Linked DNA regions of Neodiprion lecontei. The protein of the gene in region 2 purifies or fractionates together with the protein of the main gene of each other region. This does not show direct contact. Links are inferred from orthologs where the notes say so. Each region holds a gene or a part of one and is shown on either strand. Other genes may lie near its edges.

Evidence for each region. Proteins that work in one complex are often made in the same cells at the same time.
Region 1: the proteins of DNA-directed RNA polymerase II subunit RPB2 (region 2) and GPN-loop GTPase 3 purify together in Homo sapiens (co-immunoprecipitation; 3 studies listed by BioGRID and IntAct, counting the BioPlex papers as one, with this or other methods). This does not show direct contact. The link is inferred for Neodiprion lecontei from reciprocal best matches to the Homo sapiens genes POLR2B and GPN3.

Annotation. Positions count from the first base shown.
Region 1 is NC_060262.1:18,446,071-18,454,840, forward strand, and holds GPN-loop GTPase 3, read right to left. Parts: upstream 4,941-8,770; 5' UTR 4,701-4,940; coding exon 4,656-4,700; intron 3,477-4,655; coding exon 3,280-3,476; intron 3,205-3,279; coding exon 2,625-3,204; 3' UTR 2,556-2,624; downstream 1-2,555. Other genes in the region: GPN-loop GTPase 1, read left to right, coding at 677-1,041, 1,167-1,396, 1,798-2,146; putative nuclease HARBI1, read right to left, coding at 6,008-6,302, 6,401-6,609, 6,731-7,027, 7,140-7,406; WW domain-binding protein 11, read left to right, coding at 8,537-8,600. UniProt on the Homo sapiens protein: Small GTPase required for proper localization of RNA polymerase II (RNAPII). May act at an RNAP assembly step prior to nuclear import.
Region 2 is NC_060263.1:16,081,791-16,093,693, forward strand, and holds DNA-directed RNA polymerase II subunit RPB2, read right to left. Parts: upstream 7,842-11,903; 5' UTR 7,702-7,841; coding exon 7,683-7,701; intron 7,333-7,682; coding exon 6,931-7,332; intron 6,835-6,930; coding exon 6,680-6,834; intron 6,593-6,679; coding exon 6,434-6,592; intron 6,345-6,433; coding exon 5,125-6,344; intron 5,045-5,124; coding exon 4,822-5,044; intron 4,583-4,821; coding exon 4,121-4,582; intron 4,039-4,120; coding exon 3,696-4,038; intron 3,619-3,695; coding exon 3,360-3,618; intron 3,271-3,359; coding exon 2,985-3,270; 3' UTR 2,578-2,984; downstream 1-2,577. Other genes in the region: E3 ubiquitin-protein ligase TM129, read left to right, coding at 164-312, 410-533; uncharacterized protein LOC107220317, read right to left, coding at 9,288-9,371, 9,505-9,655, 9,741-9,841, 10,045-10,107. UniProt on the Homo sapiens protein: Catalytic core component of RNA polymerase II (Pol II), a DNA-dependent RNA polymerase which synthesizes mRNA precursors and many functional non-coding RNAs using the four ribonucleoside triphosphates as substrates.

The DNA.
Region 1 (8,770 bases), on a different chromosome or scaffold from region 2:
AGTTGTGAAAGAAAGTTCCAATGCTTATAAAATCCTATAAAAACTGTAAAACTCAGAATTCTTAATATCATGACAAGAAATTTGATTTTTCGTGCTAAATTTAAACCTTTTTTTTTAACTCAATTAACAAAAAAACATGAAAATTTTCAAAAGAAAAGTAGAGTCGTGGCAAAGAGGATAAATTATCCAAGAATAATCTATCCTCATTTGATACAAATCAGTCGAGCTGTTTCTGCGACATCATGGGCACTGAAAAACGTGTCACTGAGCAAAACGGTTTATCCTAATGTGAATAACAATCTTTCCTATTGTCTGATTTTAATAGAGAAAACGTTGATGGAACTTAATCTGCAGACATTTGAATGAAACGAATCTTAATCAAATTGCATAATTGGTTGTTGAGATATAAATTCCCAAAATTCTAGCCATCTACTTGTATATATCTCCTCAATAAACTTTTTAATAAAGATAAATGCAACAATTCGGGACAAGAATAATATAATAATAATATTAATAATAATCACTACGAACACTCGCCATATGTGATAGAGTTGGTTCTCATGAGCCGTTAGGGTTGTATGAAGCAAGATAGGGGATGGATCGGCGACCATCATTATGTGTCTGCGGCCGTCTTAAGATGTTCAATAGTTGCTCGATAAGTCAACCATTTTTTCAGACATTAGAGACACGGTCAACTACAAGGAGGTCATGAAGCAGTATGGGTTGGGCCCAAACGGTGGTATTGTTACGGCACTGAATTTATTCTCAACAAAATTTGACCAGGTGATAAAACTGATTGAAAAGGCAGGAGAAGAACACGAATTTGTTATATTGGATACTCCTGGTCAAATAGAGGTTTTCACTTGGTCAGCCAGCGGCACGATCATCACTGAGGCATTGGCTTCTGAATTTCCAACTGTGATTGTCTATGTCATGGATACTGTGAGGAGCGTCAGCCCAGTTACCTTTATGTCGAATATGCTATATGCATGTTCTATTCTTTACAAGACCAGACTTCCATTCGTTATAGCAATGAATAAGGTAAATTGAGAAAAATACAAATAATTCAAGTAATCGTTGATTAGTACAAATTTTGCAGTTTTCAATGCATGTACACTTCATCAACACTCGATTAGTAGATTTCATTTGAGATTTTATGGTTACAGATAGATGTTGTTGAGCACAGCTATGCAGTGGATTGGATGCAAGATTTTGAATCGTTCCAAGAAGCCTTGGAATCAGAGACTAGCTACATAAGTAACTTGACACGCAGTTTGGCACTAGCACTTGACGAATTCTATTGTCACCTGCGCAGTTGTGGTGTCTCGGCATTGACCGGGGATGGAGTTCCCCGCTTCTTCAAGCTGATTGAAGAAGCGGCCAAAGAATATGAAACGTAATTTTGTACTGAAATGTTTAAAAATTCTCAAAAATTCACGGCTTTTGACAGAAAAGTGAGAAAATTCTCGACTATTCATCCTTTGCATTAAAACTTGGCTATAATGTAATATTTCACTCATTTGCAACGTTATTTAAGCCAATATTTCACTTAATTCGTTTAAAAGATATTCTGAACACGAAACTAACATTACCCTACTTTATATTTCAACGGGTACCATTCAACTTCTGATTGATAAGATTATCAAAATTGTTGAGAAATATTTATGAGATTGAAATTGGAAACGTTCACGTAATGGATGTGTAGGAAAGAGAATTTAGCCATTAAAATTACGAACTACACCTTCATAAGTATTTCGTTTATTGTATACTTTCTATACTATTTAACGAATGTTCCAGAGACTATAAGAAAGATTGGGAGAGAATCCGCGTGGAGAATGCAAAAGCACAGGAAGAAGCAAGGAAAGCACAATTGAAAAAGGCAGCTGCGGAAGGTTCCGGCGATGTTGTTCCATTGGTCAGTACAGTTAATGTTGGCCGTGAGATAGCAGATATCTATCTGAAACACCCAGCCAACGAGTCTAGCGATGATGAAGAAGGCGAAGAGAATTCTGGAGATCCAGGAGTGGACGAGGATGAACGAAAAGAGGCAGAATCTTTTAAAACTTTTCTTGCAAAACAAAAAGCCGAACAGGACAGACGAGCGAAGTCCCAAAAAAGTGAACCGAGTACCAGCAAAGGAGGCTGACATATTTCTCAGCATAGAATACACCATTCGAGAATAAAGTTGGTTGATCATAAAATTCATTGATACCAAATGTTTATGGCCCTTGTACCATGAAAATCTTTGTACAAAAATAAACTTTAATACCTATCAATTTGGTTGATGGAAATCCATTCTAAAATACCTAAAACAACTTTAAAATTGACGGTAATAATTTTAAACAAGTATACATAACTAGGTTATAGTCGTAAACAGCCTGTAAAATGATGCAGTGGTTTGTATTGAACATTTGCTTTGACAGAGTAGACTGCACTGAAATAAGCTTCAAGACTACAGAAAACAACAACTGACATGTGTTCAGTTTGAGAAGCCAAAAATCGTGAGGGAAGCTCTTCACTTGACACATCGTTGTAGCGAATGAAACACATGGTACTGACGTGTAAAGACAATTTATTATTTGAAAAAAATAGTTTTATTTACATGATGGATTGGATGGTTTATGTTAATCACCATCATCTTGCTCTGGCTCGTCGAAGTCCTTCATTTTGACATCAGCTTCCTCACCATATTGGATGATATTATCAATAGTCAGCCTTATGTCAGCAATATTTTCTTCGTCTTTGATATTGAGTGGATAAAATCTAACTAAGCTGTAGTCCTCGATCAATCTTCCAAGAGCTTCAGTGAGATTTCTATACTTTTGGTTCCAGTGACCCTTTTCCATATCAGCCAACAAGCTATGTGGATCTGGTTCTAGATATCTATCCAACTGTTTCCTTGCTCCTTTTGAGAGCAAGTCCATTTTAGTGAGAATGTTGATGTGTGGAAGTTCTAAATTAATCATCACGCTAAGGGCTGCCATTGTGCCCGACAGAAACTTCGAACCGTCTACCATAAACTGACTGTCCAATAAAAACACACCGCAAATTCGGAAATTAATATTCTGCAGCATGTCGACAAGCTGACGTATCACCGTCATATGCGTATACAGTTCTATTTGACCAGGGCAATCGAAAATTATGTAGTCCTCATCCACGTCACCTAATTGTTCCTCCAGCCACTTCGAATTCTCAAGTAGGTATCTAATGAATCAATATTTCGGGTTACAAACGTGAAGTAAAAAGTTGAATGAGAAAAATAATCAAATAGACACTCACTCCATACAGAACACAAGGCCACCATTAGGACCAAACTTCAACTCTTGATCCTCCATGGCATCATCTAAGTGAATTAATTCTCGTATGTCTACCAGAGGCTCATAGTCGAAGTACTCAGCTGCTGGGTCCAAATTCACCACTTCTATAACCTTCTTTTCATCAGTTGCATGTTGTACCATAGTGGAACAATATGTAGACTGTAAGACATAATTACAGACTCATCAATATACAACTTAGGTTATTTATTTGTTTCTGGTAATAGTAGCAGATATCTGGCTAATGCATTCAACAAATATAACATTGACTGCTTGAGAGGGTGTCCTAGTTAATTTCGACGCTGATGTATGCATTTCCAAATATTGAAGCCCACATATCTCTAATGCAAAAAAGGGCTTAACAGTGCCATTCTATACACAATTCTGAACAAAAACACTCTAATCCATTTTCATTTGACGAAGAAATACAGAAATTGCATGAATTCAACGAATTTACTTTTCCGATTTTGTAAAATCTGTGCCATTTCTTTATTCCTGCGTCAAATGGAAATGCGTTGGGGGGTTTTTGTTCAGAATTGCGTATAGGATGAAGCCTTTAAGCTCTTTTTTGCGATTGAGATACGTGGGCTTCGATATTTGCAGATATATATATCAACGTCGGAAATCAAACAGGGCACACTCTTAAGGAGGTTGGTGTCTCGAAATTTAATGACTTTTCTTTAATTTTATTGCAAGAAGTGTGCATATTTGGAACTTATCAAATTATTATATATTCATCGACTGTTCAGTAATCATATAAATAGTGAAGTATTGATTAAATCACCCATCTTTTCAACATTGTTAAGAGATCAAATGCTGAACATCAAAACTCTTTGGAAATCTTTTAAAAACCTCATATTATCCATACTATTTTCTAGCGTGCTGATTAACAGGTTTACCTCAACAGGAGATACCTCATCATTTTTCAGAAAATCTAATTCTCCATTTTATCAGAATGAATCACAAAAACTATCCTGAGCTGACACTAACTTTGAGGTTAGACAATGCCAAAGTTAGTGAAACAAGTTTAAAAAATCTGTCACCTCAGATCATGAGTTAAATTTTTGTTAGAATAAAGTTTGTTAGATCAAAGTTTGTTAAACCCGTCTAGACTGTGATTGTAGACATCGCCATTTGGTAAAACATCAGTAGAGTAGAGTGGATGTCTAAACAGAAGCCAAACTTTATCTAACCTTTGTCACTCAATTTGAGCGTGCCTCGAAAAATTGTTCAGACACTGAAATTTTTTGCCAAAAATATGGTACACTTGAACTTTCGGCATGTGTGAAGTGCCGTGAAGATTCATTCTGTAGTGCTAATACACACTTCGTACATATTTACCTTTCCGCAGCCAGCGGGCCCCATAACCAGTTGGGCATATCTCATATTTGCATGCAATTATTAACACGTTGTTAATCAAAATATCGAATTATCGGGATGAATTTTTAATGTTCTCCAACCGATTTTTTCTGTTGCACTACGGTTGTGCTGGTTTTCGTCTTCTTTTCAGTACTCGAACATCGCATTTTGTATATAAATTATGACAACCACGTGCCACTTGAAAGCAGTGTCTCAAACGTGTTGACACGGTGCTAGAAATCGGTCCGGTTCTCGGATACAGGTTTTTAGTACCTTAAATTTCACCATCATTTTGCGCTGGGAGGAATCCAGACGGCACTGCGGTCGAAAACGGGAAGCTGAATGGTAATTATTTACATGCTACCAACAGTGCAGAATTCTAAATAGATGATGCGAACGAGTCATAGGCCCGTATTCATAGTCAGGTCTCAAGGCGGTGCTTAAGACCGTCTTGGTGAAGATCGTCTTATTCGTTCAAGACCGTCTTGAGATGCTATGTATTCATAGTCGGAAAACAAGACGGTCTTCGTCAAGAATTTGGTCTCAAGCGCTAGCTTATTTCATTCAAGACCGTCTTGACGAAGACTGAGCTTGAGACGGTCTTATTCGACGTTCGGTTATGTTCGGAATATTTCCGATGTATCCCCCAATAAGATGCTCGGATTTTATTTCTCAGCCTGTGCAAGATATTCGTATAGGCATGCAGCTCTTGAGTATTTTTATAGTTTATGAACACAACAACGTTAGCGCCACGTAGAGGAACTAAAAAACGGGAACAAATCGCGTGCAATTTTTTGTAGTGGGTGTATAGCTATAAAACGAAGAAGAAGAAAAAGAATTTTATAGTGTATGTTTATGTGTATATAATTTTTATATACACATATTTTAACCTATATCATTATGTAAATCTCTATACCGGTTATTGATAAATAAATTGTATTGATATGTTAAAAGGAATCCCGGTGCAGACTTGCAAAAAAATGCGCGTGAAAGGGACAACCTTTGATCTTCAAAGTTCAAAAGAGCAACTTTAGTTCTATTTACTGGCTGTATTTATAATGTATTGAATATTTTTACGTAGACAAATTTTCATAAGTATTATCGTAACTATAAGACTGACGCTTAGTACAATTACGTACATATCAGTATTTTCATGAGTAAGTGAGGGGTTTAAAAATAAAATGAGAACCAATGATAAGTTATGAGTAAAATATGTATTCTAATGTTAACTGTTTGTACAGATTAAATTCAATTTTATTAAATATTTGGAGTATATTCATTCTAAAATCAATTAGTCTTTACAATTAAATTAACTTGATATACATATATTTTGATTAAATGAATAACCGTTCGATTAGAGCTTCGCGTATTGCAAAACCCTCTCCAGGCTGCCAATGCGGTGCTTGAGGTGGCAATTCATCCGCTTCTTCTTCCTCGATGCGATTATCTTCCGGAAGAGCATTATCCAATGTTAGTGATAAATTGTGTAGTACGGCACAAGCTACAACAATTGTGGTAGAGCACAACAATTTGGTTCCCAAACCTCGGGATAGGCAAGGAAAACGTCGCTTCCAAACTCCAAATGTTCTTTCAACAATTTGCCTTGTTCTGCTTTGTACGTTGTTATACCTATCAAGATACCGACTTGGTTAATTCACACATGTATACTTTGTCAATTTTATGACTACTTATCGAAATCTAAAGTAATGCGATAATCTTTATCTTACCTTTGTTGAGCATCTGTAATTGGATTTGCCAGTGGAGTCAGCAGAAATGGCAAGCACGGATAGCCGGCATCTCCAACCAGGGTTCCAGTAAGTTGTCTCTCATGATACCGCATGTAAATTCGTGAATTTTGGAATATTTGACTGTCATGGTTACTTCCAGGCCATTCCGGAACCACATCCAAGAATTCCATATTGGGTCCGATAACTGCCTGTGGTATCATTTAAATTAAAAGTACCGATTTTCATAGAATAGTATTGTTTATTTGTATCCTAGATAAAATTAATTGCAACTTATGGTATTTGTAAACGGTTATCACCAACGCGACATACCTGTACATTGAGGGAAAAATATCCCTTACGATTCCTATAAACCTCCTGCAGGTCTGCAAATTTCGTATGACATAATCGAATGTGAGTGCAGTCGATAGCGCCATCAACGCCAGGTAAACCGATACCCTCCCTGCGTGCACCAAGTTGTCTGAATAGATCTCTGTTTGCGATCATAGCAGCTTCCGTACTAGGAAATTTGATAATTGCGTGAATCAATGATGCAATTTGAGCCGATACTCTGTGTATTATCCTCGATACTGTAGACTGCGATATAGTCATCAGATCTCCGTTGACGAGCTGTACAGTACAAAATGTATTAGCAATCATTTATTCCATGATCACAGGAAGCAATGAAATCACTTTATATTTTCAGTAGAATGTCAGGAATTATAATCACAATGATCCTTACTTGAAAGCTAGCGGTAGCGTAAAATCGTAGACATATTAATAATTGCATGACAGGTGGAATTGGTAGACCACGATTATTGGCACTGACTAAGGCAGCTTCAATTCTAGGTAGTATTCCGTACATAATACCATCCTTTGAAAATCGGAATCGCCGTTTGAACTCCTGCTCGGAATAAAACTCGAACGGGTTTTGACCATCTCTGATGTATCTCTTCGGAGCTCGCTGTACTTCACCCTCGTCTTCGTCATTCGGCCCAACGTTGACCATTGAACAATCATATTATTCATTTCTTCGATCTGATCGTAGAAATTAAACATATCTTGCATATTCGCCATGTCAGTAGAATTTCACTATTCACTTCACTTCACAAATTTTTCAAAGCGAATGCTCTCATAACCTCTACTTCAATTGCAAGTTTCCGTTGCTACCCTTTTACAGTAAATAATCCCGTCCCAGCTGCACTTTCCCAAACATTCCTTCACAATCTATTCCTGTTAATTTATATTGTTCGAATATAATATTTTCCAAACAATTCGTAATTATCAATTTCGTACGCATCAGAACAATTGAGTAATATTTAGGCAACAAGCATTTGCTTAAGTGCAGTCCGAACTCGACTTGATCAAGATACGTAAATAAGACTGCGTTAATTGACTATGAAACGTTGCGTGCTCAAGACCATGCTTATTTCAAATAAGACTGGACTATGCAACCTTGTAAGCACGCTTCGAATAAGACCGACTTGATGAAGACCGTCTTATTTGCCGCGTCTCAAGACCGTCTTGTTTGACGTCTATGGAACCAAACGCCATCTTAAGGCCTCGTATAAGACCGTCTTATTCGAGTCCGGTCTTAAGCACTGACTATGAATACCGGCCATAATCTCTATTGTGCTCGAAAAGGTAACTTGAATGTTTCCTGTTTAATATTGTAATTTCCCATTCCTATACATTAATTAACGCATTTCTAATAATTCAAGATCTATTCAATTTGTACTCATTCAAATATATTTTCATTTTATATTTGATATTTACCTTTGAAATTCACACAAGCGTGATGCAAACTCTGCAATCATCTACAATTGGCTACCTGAATTAGAACCAGTGTTCACAGTAGAAAAATGAAGACGATTTATGACATCATATATTTCCCTAGGATACCGCGACTGACTGTCAGCTCTCTGCTGTCAGTTTATAACGGAACGAATTTCTCTCCAGTAAGAGCACTGAACAGTGCTCGCAGTGTATGTCGGAACATACCCAAAGATATATGGCAGCACTGATGAAGCACCGAGCACCAGACTTGTGCTGAAGATCGTGATTAAAGTAATAGAGTTTGTTAATATAACGAAGTCTAGTTCCACTAATTGTGAAGTGTGTATTAAAAAATAATCAAATATGGGTCGAAGATCGATAAATACCACGAAAAGTGGAAAATACATGAATCCCACAGACCAAGCTCGTGAGTAGAATTATAACCTATAACTCTGACTCAACCTAACCTACTTCAATTCAATTTAATGTTCTTCACTCAACCTAAATGTGGAAGTAATTCATTGTTCTTTTCTGTTTATGGATGGTTACACATATTTTCTGCAAGTGGCCAAAATGTGATTTTGTAATTGTTCAATG
Region 2 (11,903 bases):
GTATATGGTACCATTATACTTTGATGAATCATTGAAGAAGTTCCTCAAAAACATGAATGTACAATGATATTTGAGTTAGCCAAGAGCCAAATTATAATCTCAATGATGTATTGACACGTGTGCAAATCATATGTACAGATTGCTCATTCAATTTTTTCTATAGGAGTTAGAACAATGCATTGGCTGTATGCAGGTGACATCAAATGTAAAGTTGAATAAGCTATGTGGTGACGTTACGGAAGAACGAGGCCCCGATGCCTGTGTTACATGTTTTTGTCGACCTATGTGGTGCATAGACTGTATGGCAAAATGGTAGGTTTTACATAGTCGTTTGCATATAACCAGTGGAATGATTGAGAGCCGGATTAAAAATGAGCAAAATTTGATATTTTTTTTACCACATTCTCAGGTTTGCCTCAAGACAGGATGAGAACTCACCCGAGACTTGGTTGTCTTCAAAATGCACATGCCCAGTTTGTAGAGCGAGGTTCTGTCTCCTGGATGTATGTTTGATACTCGTTTCAAGTAATTGATTTTCATCACATTTTTACATGTAATAAATAGCTAATTGTTGATTCAAAGTTTATTATACATACCACATGATTTGTAAGGTTTTCATTTACTAAAGATGAGAAGATACTCTTTCCAAGTGTTCATAGTAATCACGACGATGTCATAGATGACATATATTTTTTAAACGAAGAATCTAAGTACCTGTATAAATTATTCAAATACCGTGAATAGATGAACCCTGATCGTATTTTCAAATTTAGAATCTTGAAATAACCAAGTCTTTTCCAATTTTTCCTATTTTATATGCTTATATCGAATAGCTCTCACTGCACAGTCAAACTGTAATGTATACAATCTGAATTACGATAAGGAATAGTGAATATTAGAGATGCGTCATGTTTTTATAGCTCAGCAAATCAACGGCCCAACATTTTTTTTTTTAAACTGCACTTAAACGTTGAATACCCCACTCAGAATTCTCAAACAACAAGTTTATCACTTTTATATACTCAGGAATTTCACAAATATTTTTAACGGGCGTTTTGTCAAGCTTAAAATAGCGTATGATACAATGTAAGATTAAGATCTATACGTACATGTACGATATGCATATATGTAAAAATATAATTATTAATAAATACATAATATTTGATAATAGTTTGTTGCAATTCTTTTGGGGCAATATCCGTACAATAGTTGATAGCCTATTGAAATTCAATAAATTTAATGCTGTAATACCTACGTCTTATCGTTATTGTTTATACTTCTTTCTTTGGCCGATTTCTTGCGGTCCATTTCCGAGTCCAGTTTATTTGCTACGTTAACTTCTGGTTGTTCCTGGGATGGAGAACTGAAGGTGTCATTTTTTATTTCAACCCTGTTTTTATTCTTCTGTCTAAATCTCCCAGAGTTTGATACTGATAATCGACGATTGCCGCTGTGCTCATCAATCTGAGCTGTTATCTCTACTTGATTCTTGTTACCAAACAAATCGGTCAAAAACTTTTTGGCTGACATTTTGTTCTTTGTTTCTTTTTTTTGCGGGATCAATCAACTCTGCCGTCAATATCTGTGGTACAAAAAAATGAATAATTTAAATTGTACTTTTACTAGCCAGTTTATTTCTTACATTCAGATCACACAATATTCATTTAAACAAACAATTGCTTTTGAAGAGCAGCTCTATTATTTTTCGAAATTATCCTTCTTGCTTCCGTTGCACAGTAATGTTGAAATTCTCCTTATCTAATCTAATCTAATCTTCTGATAGCGTACATTGGCATATAAAATATATACATTATGTAAAGTTGAGCCAATTGCACTCAAATCAGAACACATAAATTTCTGTTGGGAAATTAAATCATTAATCAAGTTGCAATAACTTACCTGGAGTTTATTTTATCACTGAGAGGCTATTTTCCCTTTGCTAATTTTCCAATATTTGGTACTGATGAAACAATAGCTAATCCCATTCGCTTTTTCAAACAGAAATCAGTGACTGCGTTACTTGATAGCCTTGGAAGAGTTGAAATTTCTTATTGCATGAATAGCTCAACAGGAATTACCAAATTTTTCAATTATTTACGCACCGATTTATTTATTGCTGCAATAGGTGTTTAATCTTGATTCATTTGAATCCATCGAGTAACGTCAAACCGATGTACTTTTATCGCATGCACAAATATAGATAATTTTTCTTTCCAGTGCCTTTTCTTCTTCTGATATGTTCTCATGTCGCTTAGAATGAAATTAACATGTTCCCATACTCAGAAATTCGATTACTAAAACAAGAACAATATTACTGTGCTCCATTCTAGAGCGTGTTGTTTTATTGGACCGAGACAAGCTTCGAAACAGTAGTCACAATTCAATCGGTTATATGATACTGCCGATCTAAGAGCTATTAACAAAAATTGTGTCAATAATCAGCATCTTATCAATCCCGTTGAATTGATTATTTCAATGATAAAGTATTAATATGAGATATCACTTCAGTGAGGTATTGAAAATAACACCGTACCCCATATTGAAGATGAAAATTGTTAAATAACATCACACCAACGATTATCAATAATATTATTTATTCTCAATTTTGATAATTCATAAATAATAATCAGAAAATAACTATTTCGATTTCCATTTTGTCCTTCTCTCTTTCTTTGTTGTGTTAAAAATCACATCCGTACCTAAGTTAGGATGTTCAACAAATAATCTTGGCTACACATATAATCGATGAATTAGCGATTGTAAGAATTTGTTCGATCGATCCAATCAGTATTGATTGTGACGTTCCAGCCTGCAATACAGAGGATAAAAATAAAATAAAATTGGACGTTTAAGAATACGTGTGTCGATAAAAATGAAACACGAATTGTTGTATGATTCGTAAGGCTCGACATCAGAAGTACTGACAAAGTACCGAATGCTTGCCGAATAACCCAGCGACACAGCATCACCTAGAAATCTCCTCTTCAAATGACCATAAGTCGCGGGGCTATATTCATAGCCATTAATTCCTGGAATAGTAGTTTTGCTGCATAGGGCAGTCGGATTTGTGAAATTTGAGTCTTGTTCTTGCACCCTTTGCACTCGAACGTGTTGTTCCTAAGATTCGCAATGGCGATTAGGCCGCAGATATTACAGATATGAATTCTGTACGGGTCCGACACTTCGAAGAGACGCTCTCGAAGGAATTGCGCCGCTCCGTGAGATATTTGACAGTCACGTTCCATCTCCCCGAATCGTAGTCCACCATCCCTGTACGCGTAAATAGTGAAAACAATCGTAGATCATTGAGGAATGAATACCTTTGAAGTTCCGAGGTATTTGCTCAGTTAAAAACCTACCTCGCCCTACCCTCCATAGGCTGTCTGACCAAAATTTGTACGGGCCCTCTGGCTCTGCTGTGAATCTTATCGTCCACCATATGCTTCAAACGCTGATAATAAGTCGGACCAAGGAAGACTTGGGCATTTATTTTACGACCTGTGTGTCCGTTGTACATAACTTCATTACCTCTGAGCTGATATCCGTATTCTTGAAGAAGCGTGGAGATTTTTTGTACGTTCACGGCATCGTTGAAGGGCGTTGCATCGCCGATCTCACCTGCAGAAATTAATTGTTTCAATCTGTTGGAACATGGATACGCGATAGATAAACTATCGATAATTTAATTCCTTTACCTTTATTTGCAGATACTTTTCCCTGGATGCACTCGATCAAGTGACCGATTGTCATACGCGACGGAATGGCGTGAGGATTAATGATGATGTCTGGTGTTAACCCCTCGCACGAAAACGGCATGTCCTCCTGCCTGTACTGAATACCACAAGTACCTTTCTGCCCATGACGAGAAGCGAATTTGTCACCGATCTGTGGGATCCGGACGCTGCGCACTCGAATTTTACAGAACTTGTAGCCCTCGCTGTTCAACGTCAGCATGACTTGATCAACAATTCCAGTTTCACTGTTTCGCAAAAAGGTTGACGCGTCTCTTTTTGTAAATCGTTTTGTCGTACTGTCGAGCTGTGATTAAATAATCAAGCAATGAAACAAAGTCAATTCCGGATGGTTGTATCTGACCTTAATAAGGAATTCGCATACAAACCTCGTCGTCTGTTTCGGGGAGTGTAATAGTCTTGCCAATGACGACGTCGTCGCCAGACACTCGAATTCCCGGCGCAATAATACCATCGTCGTCCAATTTGTCGTAAATCGCGTTTCTCATTCCTTGACACGTTTGTCTTGTCGGTTTCTCAAACTGTTCTTCTTGGTCCCCGATTCTCTTGGACTCGGAGTCTTTGTAAGAACGGTAGAAAACGGACCTGAAGAATCCTCTTTCCACCGCGCTAGCGTTCAGGATAACACTATCCTCCTGATTATATCCCGTGTAGCAGAGAATAGCCACAATACTGTTTATCCCAGCAGGTAGTTCTCTGAACCGTAAATATTCCATCGATCTTGTTGTTACCAAAGGTTTGTGGGGATAGTATAAAACGTGCGCCAAGGTATCCATTCGGACGTGGAAATTCGTAATATAAACGCCCATTGCTTGTTTACCCATAGCGCTCTGAAAAACGGAACAGGACATGAAAACAATTAGTCAGTATTTGCCGAGACAGCAGAAAACTAAAATTTGTCAAAATGATGTTTTATGACTTATTTTTTGATAACTAAAAGACGTGAGTCATTTTTTTGACAAAACAATACCTTACGGACACATAGATATCACTTCTGAGTCGAAAAATTGGTCATAAGACACATTAGAATCGTTTTTTTGATGATTTTCAGTTTTGCACCGGCACTCACTTGATAGGTGTTCCTGGGACTCTGATTGTGATCGGGGAATGGAATGATGGAAGCGCACACCCCGAGAATCATAGCAGGGTGAATTTCACAGTGGGTGTAAGTTGTGCAGTACGCGTACTCCTTCTCTTGTCGGAGATCCTCTGGCGATATTGCGATCATCACGGTCTCCTCTTCTAGCGTATCGATGTACTCAACAACTCCGCTAGCGACCAACACCTGCCACCTACAATGAAGGTGATCACATCGTTGTAATATGAAACGAAAGAGGATGAGAAGTTTCTTCTTGAGAAAAAAAAGACTCACCCGTAGTTGGTATATTCTCTTTCCTTGAGCATGTCAATGTGGCGTTTTTTGAGCAGTAACGTTTGGTTCTCGACGATTAAAAGCGGCCTGCAAATTCGCCCAGCATCTGTGTAAATCCTAATCTCTCGGTCCCTGATGTCTCTGATCATAGATACTTCAGAGACGATAATGTCCATCTGTCTTCTGAGTTTTCTCAACGTGGCCATGAGCTGTTCTGGATCTCTGTGTATTCCAACCCAGCAACCATTGACGAAAATTTTTGTCGCATCAGCAATCGCACTGGGAGCAATTTCCTCAAGATTTTCCATTGACCATTCTTCTAAGAATTCGAGAATCGGCGATGGCTGTGATCCAACGCTGATGTACGCCATCAGAGCCAGATTCTTGACCAAACCTACAGCTGCACCTTCCGGTGTCTCAGCAGGGCACAACATTCCCCATAAAGTATTGTGCAGCTGACGTGGTTTAGCCAGTTTCCCATCTCTGCCAATGGGCGAATTCACTCTCCTCAAATGGGACAAAGTTGAGGCAAAAGTAAGCCTGTTCAACACCTGGGAAACACCGGCTCTTGCTTGGTGAGCCTTTTTCTGATCTCCCCAGTTTCCCGTCGCCAGCGAGTATCTCAAACCATCTGTAATTATCTTAGTCTTGATGGCCAGCTCCAGGTTAAAGTCTTTTCCTCTATCAATAAACTTTTGGGCGTACATTCTCACCTCCTTCATGAGATTCTTGAACAACCCTCTAAACAAAAACGCTAACAGCGGTCCAGCTAGATCCAGTCTTTTGTTTCCGTAGTGATCTCGATCGTCGAGTTCCCTTCTGCCCAACGAGGCTGAGAGCAGCCTGTGTACCATGTATCCCAAGAAATAGGCTTTCTTTGTTTCACAGAAATCACTTATGCCCACGTGGGGCAGCATTTCTTTTTGCAATATCTCCCTTGCGTACTTTATACGCTTCTCCTTTGTCACTCCAGGTCTCGCACCCCTTGTACCAATGAAATTCAGAGCCACGTTCTGTTCTTGTATAACGAACGCTTCATCCAGCGACGGTTTCACCATCTCCATCATTTCTGGATCGTCAAAGTCATATATAATGTGCTCGAGGATGTCACGGTCCGCCACAAACCCCAAAGCTCTGAACACTATCATTATTGGTATTTCTTGTTTTATGTACGGAAGTATAGCTATTATTCTCTGTCCAATAGCCGATTTTTTAATACTCTGTAAAAGATGTCACATGGTTGTTGACACAAGCCGTCCTTACTTCAACGAATGTACTGTGTCATAATAAAAAATAATAAAGAACTCACTGCGCCACTTTTCGCCATCATGTTTACCCACAGAGTTGACGTCGGCCGAGAGCTGTGCTCCAGACAGGATCGAATCTCTGCTTTGTAGGCATACTTTCCATCCTTCATACTAAACACATACACAGTATTTGTGGCCATTTTTTCTTGCGCAATGAGGACCTAAGATCACAGTTCGTCATTATTTAATCTTCAGGGTCTTGATAGTGATCAACAGTTAGAGAATGAGGAGAAATATGTCAGACGCACCTTCTCAGAACCATTTATGATAAAATAACCACCAGGATCTAAAGGGCATTCGTTTAATTCAGTTAAATCACGATCTGTCAGACCAGAAAGCAGACAGTAAGTCGATCTCAACATGATAGGAATCTTTCCAATGAAAGTCTTCTGATGTTGCGTTTCTAAAATTAAATCAAATTTTTGCTATAGTTCATCATTTTGAAGTCACACATAGGTTGGTACATACAATAAATAGGTTGATCGTAGCTGAGCCTTACCTATTGGGTCCTCTCCATCTTTGACAACAGTTTTGGTAATATCGACGTAAAGGGGTGCAGAATAGGTGAGATTTCTTAGTCTAGCTTCATTGGGCATCATGGGTGACGGGGCTCCATCTTTTTCCCAATGTGTCGGTTTGGAGAGATAGATTTGTTCAAATTTGAGCAGGTGTCTAACAGGATTCTCGATTTCTCCAGATGTGTGCTGAGCCTCAGCCTGTAGGTCGATCTGAGGTGAATCCTCAACTATTCTTTGTACAGACATTTGTATAAACTCGTCAAAACTGTCCAGCTGCTGACGCACCAGTCCCTTTTCGTCAAAGTATGTGTTTATCACTATCCAGCAGGCCTCTTGCCACAGTTCTGTTGAGATTTCCTCCACGTCTTCGTCGTCGTACTGATCTAAAGTGATATTAAAATTTATTAGACTATTGGCACGTCTTGAAGATCGGAGAGTTTCGACAGTAGCAAAATAAATAATACTATATGAATAAGAGAAGCAGTTTTGACGTTATTGGGAAAATTCCTAATTGGAGTAAGACTGTGTAAGAGATGGTTTAGTTAGAGTCGAAAATTACTCAAAGAATACAGCAGACTCTAGAAATAATGAGCAAATAAATATAACAATTTTAAGGTTATGTTCTACAGTCGTATTTCATTCTCTCCCATTATTTTTCTCATGTCTTCTTAAATCATAGTAGTGATAATTCGGTGTTACAAATTCACAATCCGCCTAGAAATAAATCACTCACCATCTTCCACTGCGTACATCTTCTAAGTTTGGTGATTATACACTAAATTGACAACAAATACTCCGTACGCTGCAGGTTAATCGAAATTAACACATTACTTTGTAGTTAACACGACACTGCGAGGCATTCAATTAATCCACTGGCCGCCAAACTGCGCCAAGTGCCGCCAACGCATATTAAAAGATGGCGCCATCTAGGAGGGAAAATTGCACTTATTAGACGGTATAAAAAACTGTTATCATTCAACGTGTCTTCGGTCTCTTCGGTGCATACGAAACACCAGTGCCATCTTATTTCAGGTAGCTATTTGCGTTGACTGGTTTGCATGGAGTTCGTGCACCTTGTATAGTCTTCGGTGGTACCAACAATCTCGTGTACAAAATTGAAATTCGACTGCTACCGCGTTGCTAAGTAAATTTGTTACAAATAAGAGAGGAAATGGCGTTGAGTCCGCAAACTAAACAGAAAATATCCATTGTCATCGAAGTGACGAAGGTTGTTTTTCATTGGGGATTTATTCCCGGAGTCCTCTTTTTAGGTTAGTATTCTCTTCGAATGGTTTTCAATTTGCTTTTGTGCTGCTAGATACACACACAGTGAAGGAAAGAGAAATTTTTTGACCAACGTAATCGCTACAATTGAAGTTTTCAATTCAATTATTTCTCCAGGGTTTAAGAAAGGCGCAGATCCTGGAATGCCGCCTCTCTCGGTAATGAAGTAAGTTTCTCTCAAAGAACGTACAAATTGAAATTTGAATTATAAGTAGCATATTCCATTAATAATCCTTGCGTCATTTTTTCAGCCTACTCTGGCAGTAGCACCATTAATTCTCAACTTTACTGAATCATCTGCAAAAATTACTGATGATTATCAATCCACATGTATCACATTGTACCTAAAATGTTAACACAGAAACCAATACAATAGACTGTAAATTCCAATAGAAATAAATGTTTAGTTAACATTCTTTGCAACATTAAATGATACATCGTTAAATAGACCTGCGGAAAAAGTGTTTAAATAGGTTCCACAAATAAAATTACCATGTGCCTCAACGCAGAGAATTCAGCATTCATGCATGCGTGTAATATCTGGTTATTAGGCACCATTAATTATATACATATACATTTTCAGAAAAAAAAGCCACTTAGTTAAATCCGATCATGGAAATCAAAAACAAAGAACACGTTTTTGCGGTTAATTACGGAATTCATTTAATAATACATAATGATAATATTAATTACACAATAAAATGTATATTTTTTCATCAGAAGTGTTATTCATAAATATGTGTAATCAGGTGATCTTTGAATACTGGATCACCATCGTAACATTATCATTTATTTTAGACAATCGAAAGAGATTCCACCCTTGTTTGTTTTGTTCATTCGATTCGATGCCAGTCCTCGAGAGAATTCAGTTCAATTGATTTTGCAAGATCCCTCAAAGTTCAACGTTCCTTAGATTACTCGTGTATCTGTAATATTTGACACGTTACAACAGAAAATCATTTTAACAATTGAGAAAATGAATGATTACAAATTACGTTAACTGTAAAAAAATACTAATTTTAACAAAAGACAGAAGCTGTGTAAAGACCAACCTTTACTTCACATTTCGCGTCACCTCTGAATATGGTGGAGGAGGCTCTGTGTATATTCTATCTTCATTAACCACCTCGAAAGCAGGCTATAACATACAAAAGCCTTTGGTATAATTTCTGTAATTCAAGTTTACTTGCAAACTGAATATAATAATGACCTGTTAGGTAATTTCATTTCTAGAAGAAAAAAATAAGTGAATTAGTAAAAAACGTGCTTACCAAGTTGCTTGTAGACTCGGCATCCTTTGCAAAACACCCATCAATACCTACAAGCTGGAATACAGGATGTCTGACACGGCATAAATATCGGCACATGAACAGCATACTGCAGCATATTAACAGCAGAGCCAAGGCAGCGCAGACTAAAATTCTAATTGGTAGTGTTAAAAAAAAAATGGGCATACAAATGGAGAAAGTTTCAGTTAGACAAGAGACTAGATTTAGAATTTACTTACGTTAAATTGAGGACCACATCATTATTAGTACAGCACATATTGTCTCCGCAGCAGTACTCCCAGGATTGACACGTATTCCATTCACAGTAGTTCGCAGATGTCTGAAGATGAAAATCAACAATGACAATAAAATTATCCACAGTTTGTGTTAGGTAGGCTGAAAAATTGTAATTATAGAATGAGAGAATAAGTAATGCACTACATAGACTTAAATTAACCTCAAAATTATTGTTGACAACCTAAATACAAACTGTAGTCTGTTTTTTACTATAAAACGCTATGTCGGTCGTGAATTAATATTTACCAATTTTATCGACGAAACGAATAGTGTTACTAGAACAATACGTGCGTTTGACAAGAACTCCATTTTCGGTTGTCTGTTTTGCTACTGTCTAACCAGATATACTCCGCCTTACACGTCGAAAGAAGAAATAACAATGAAACCCAGAAAAAAAACCTCAAGACCAATTACGTGCTGCAATAAGATGGTGAAAAGTCTAGACAGCCAGGAAAACTAATACAAGGAATCTACAAAGATGACGATATCAAATGTAAACAGGGATGAGATTGTTGCAACTACGACGACGCGTGTGATCGAATCAGAATTGATTAATAAATTATGACAGTTTTCCACAACTCTAGACGCGAGATCACCCACAAGCGGGCTTGTGCAACATCGACGAGCTCACAGGTGGTTGTCAGTTTGACGTGGCTCGATCTATGTATGTACATGCATACATACGTACATACATATGTACATAATACATATGCCAGCCACCAGCGCGCGATTAAAGCGATTCTTTATTTTTCTTCACACTGCGATCAAGCTTACACTGTGGATCAAGTCCACTGTGTTTTCTCAGGTATTGCAATGACGGTAGTGGGGGGGGGGGGGGGGGGGGGGGGTTCGCTCAAGGGGATGCCCCTACATATTTCACAAGCGAAAAAGGGCTAACCCAATTCTGAACAAAAACACTCCAACGCATTTTTATTTGAGGCAGAAATGAATGCATGAAGTAGCATGAATTCACCTAAATTATTATCGAGATTTCGTAGAATCCGTGCCATTTCTTTATTTCTGCATTAAATAAAAATATACTTGAGTGTGTCCGTTCTGAATTGTCTAATAGAATAACACCGTTATGCCGTTTCGTGTGAGATACGTGGAGATGGAGACTATACAAGGAGCACAAACGTTATGTGTACAAATCAGAGATGAAGAGGGAGATCTGCAACGCTCGGCTTTTCGTGATACCAGCTAAGTTGGAGCGTCGACGTGACACCTAGGCGGCCACGCATCGAAGGTGGCCCATTTCCGACCTGACACCAGGCGGCCATGCACCGAAGGTGGCCCACAATCGTGTATATGTAGATACACTCGGTTGCTCGAGCAAGTGGTTGCCAATCGCATTCTTGTCCTCGCTGGCACAGATGTTTCCAGGAATGCAAGAATTGGGATTTTTTTTGTTTCAGTTATGAAAGTCAGCGAATAAAAGTACAGATCTGAAGCCGCAATTAGTAAGAGAGAACACAGCACGACCGTATCACTCTGTTGCGCGTTCGAAAGAGTAGGGCTGCAGCCGCGAGGGAAAGAAATAACGCATACTGGGAAATATAATTGCATAAGTCCATGTGCTTCCCCCGGCAAGTCTCCGAATAGAGTGAGAGGTCAGACTCCAACTGTTGCTCTCTGTTTCTAATTACGGCTTCAGCTCGGTGCACAGACCGGGCAGTATATTTCTACACATAAGTCCATGTCTCTATTCGTCACTGAGCCTCGATATAATGAGAACGATCGACATGGGCGTTTTAGCTTTACTAGCGGCCAGAAAAAAGGAGATCCTATTCTCACAATGTCCACCAGGGTAGCGCTAGTGACGTTAATGTCAGGTTCATGGCTCTAGTTTGTTAATGTTTGCTCCCCCAATCTCCCCGGCATTCCCGTACTTTCCGCTTCTTAAATTTAAAAAACCTGACATTAGCAACTTTAGCGGCTCTAGTGTAGAAAGATCTTACTACAAATTTTCGACAGTTTCTTGTACATACATTACTATCGTTCTCCTTGGATCTAGACTCCGTACTATTTCTGTTCCGTAGGGGCGGCCATTTTGAAATTTAACAGAAAGCGTGACGTAGCGGCCTCCTGCTCCTTCTCGTTCTCTC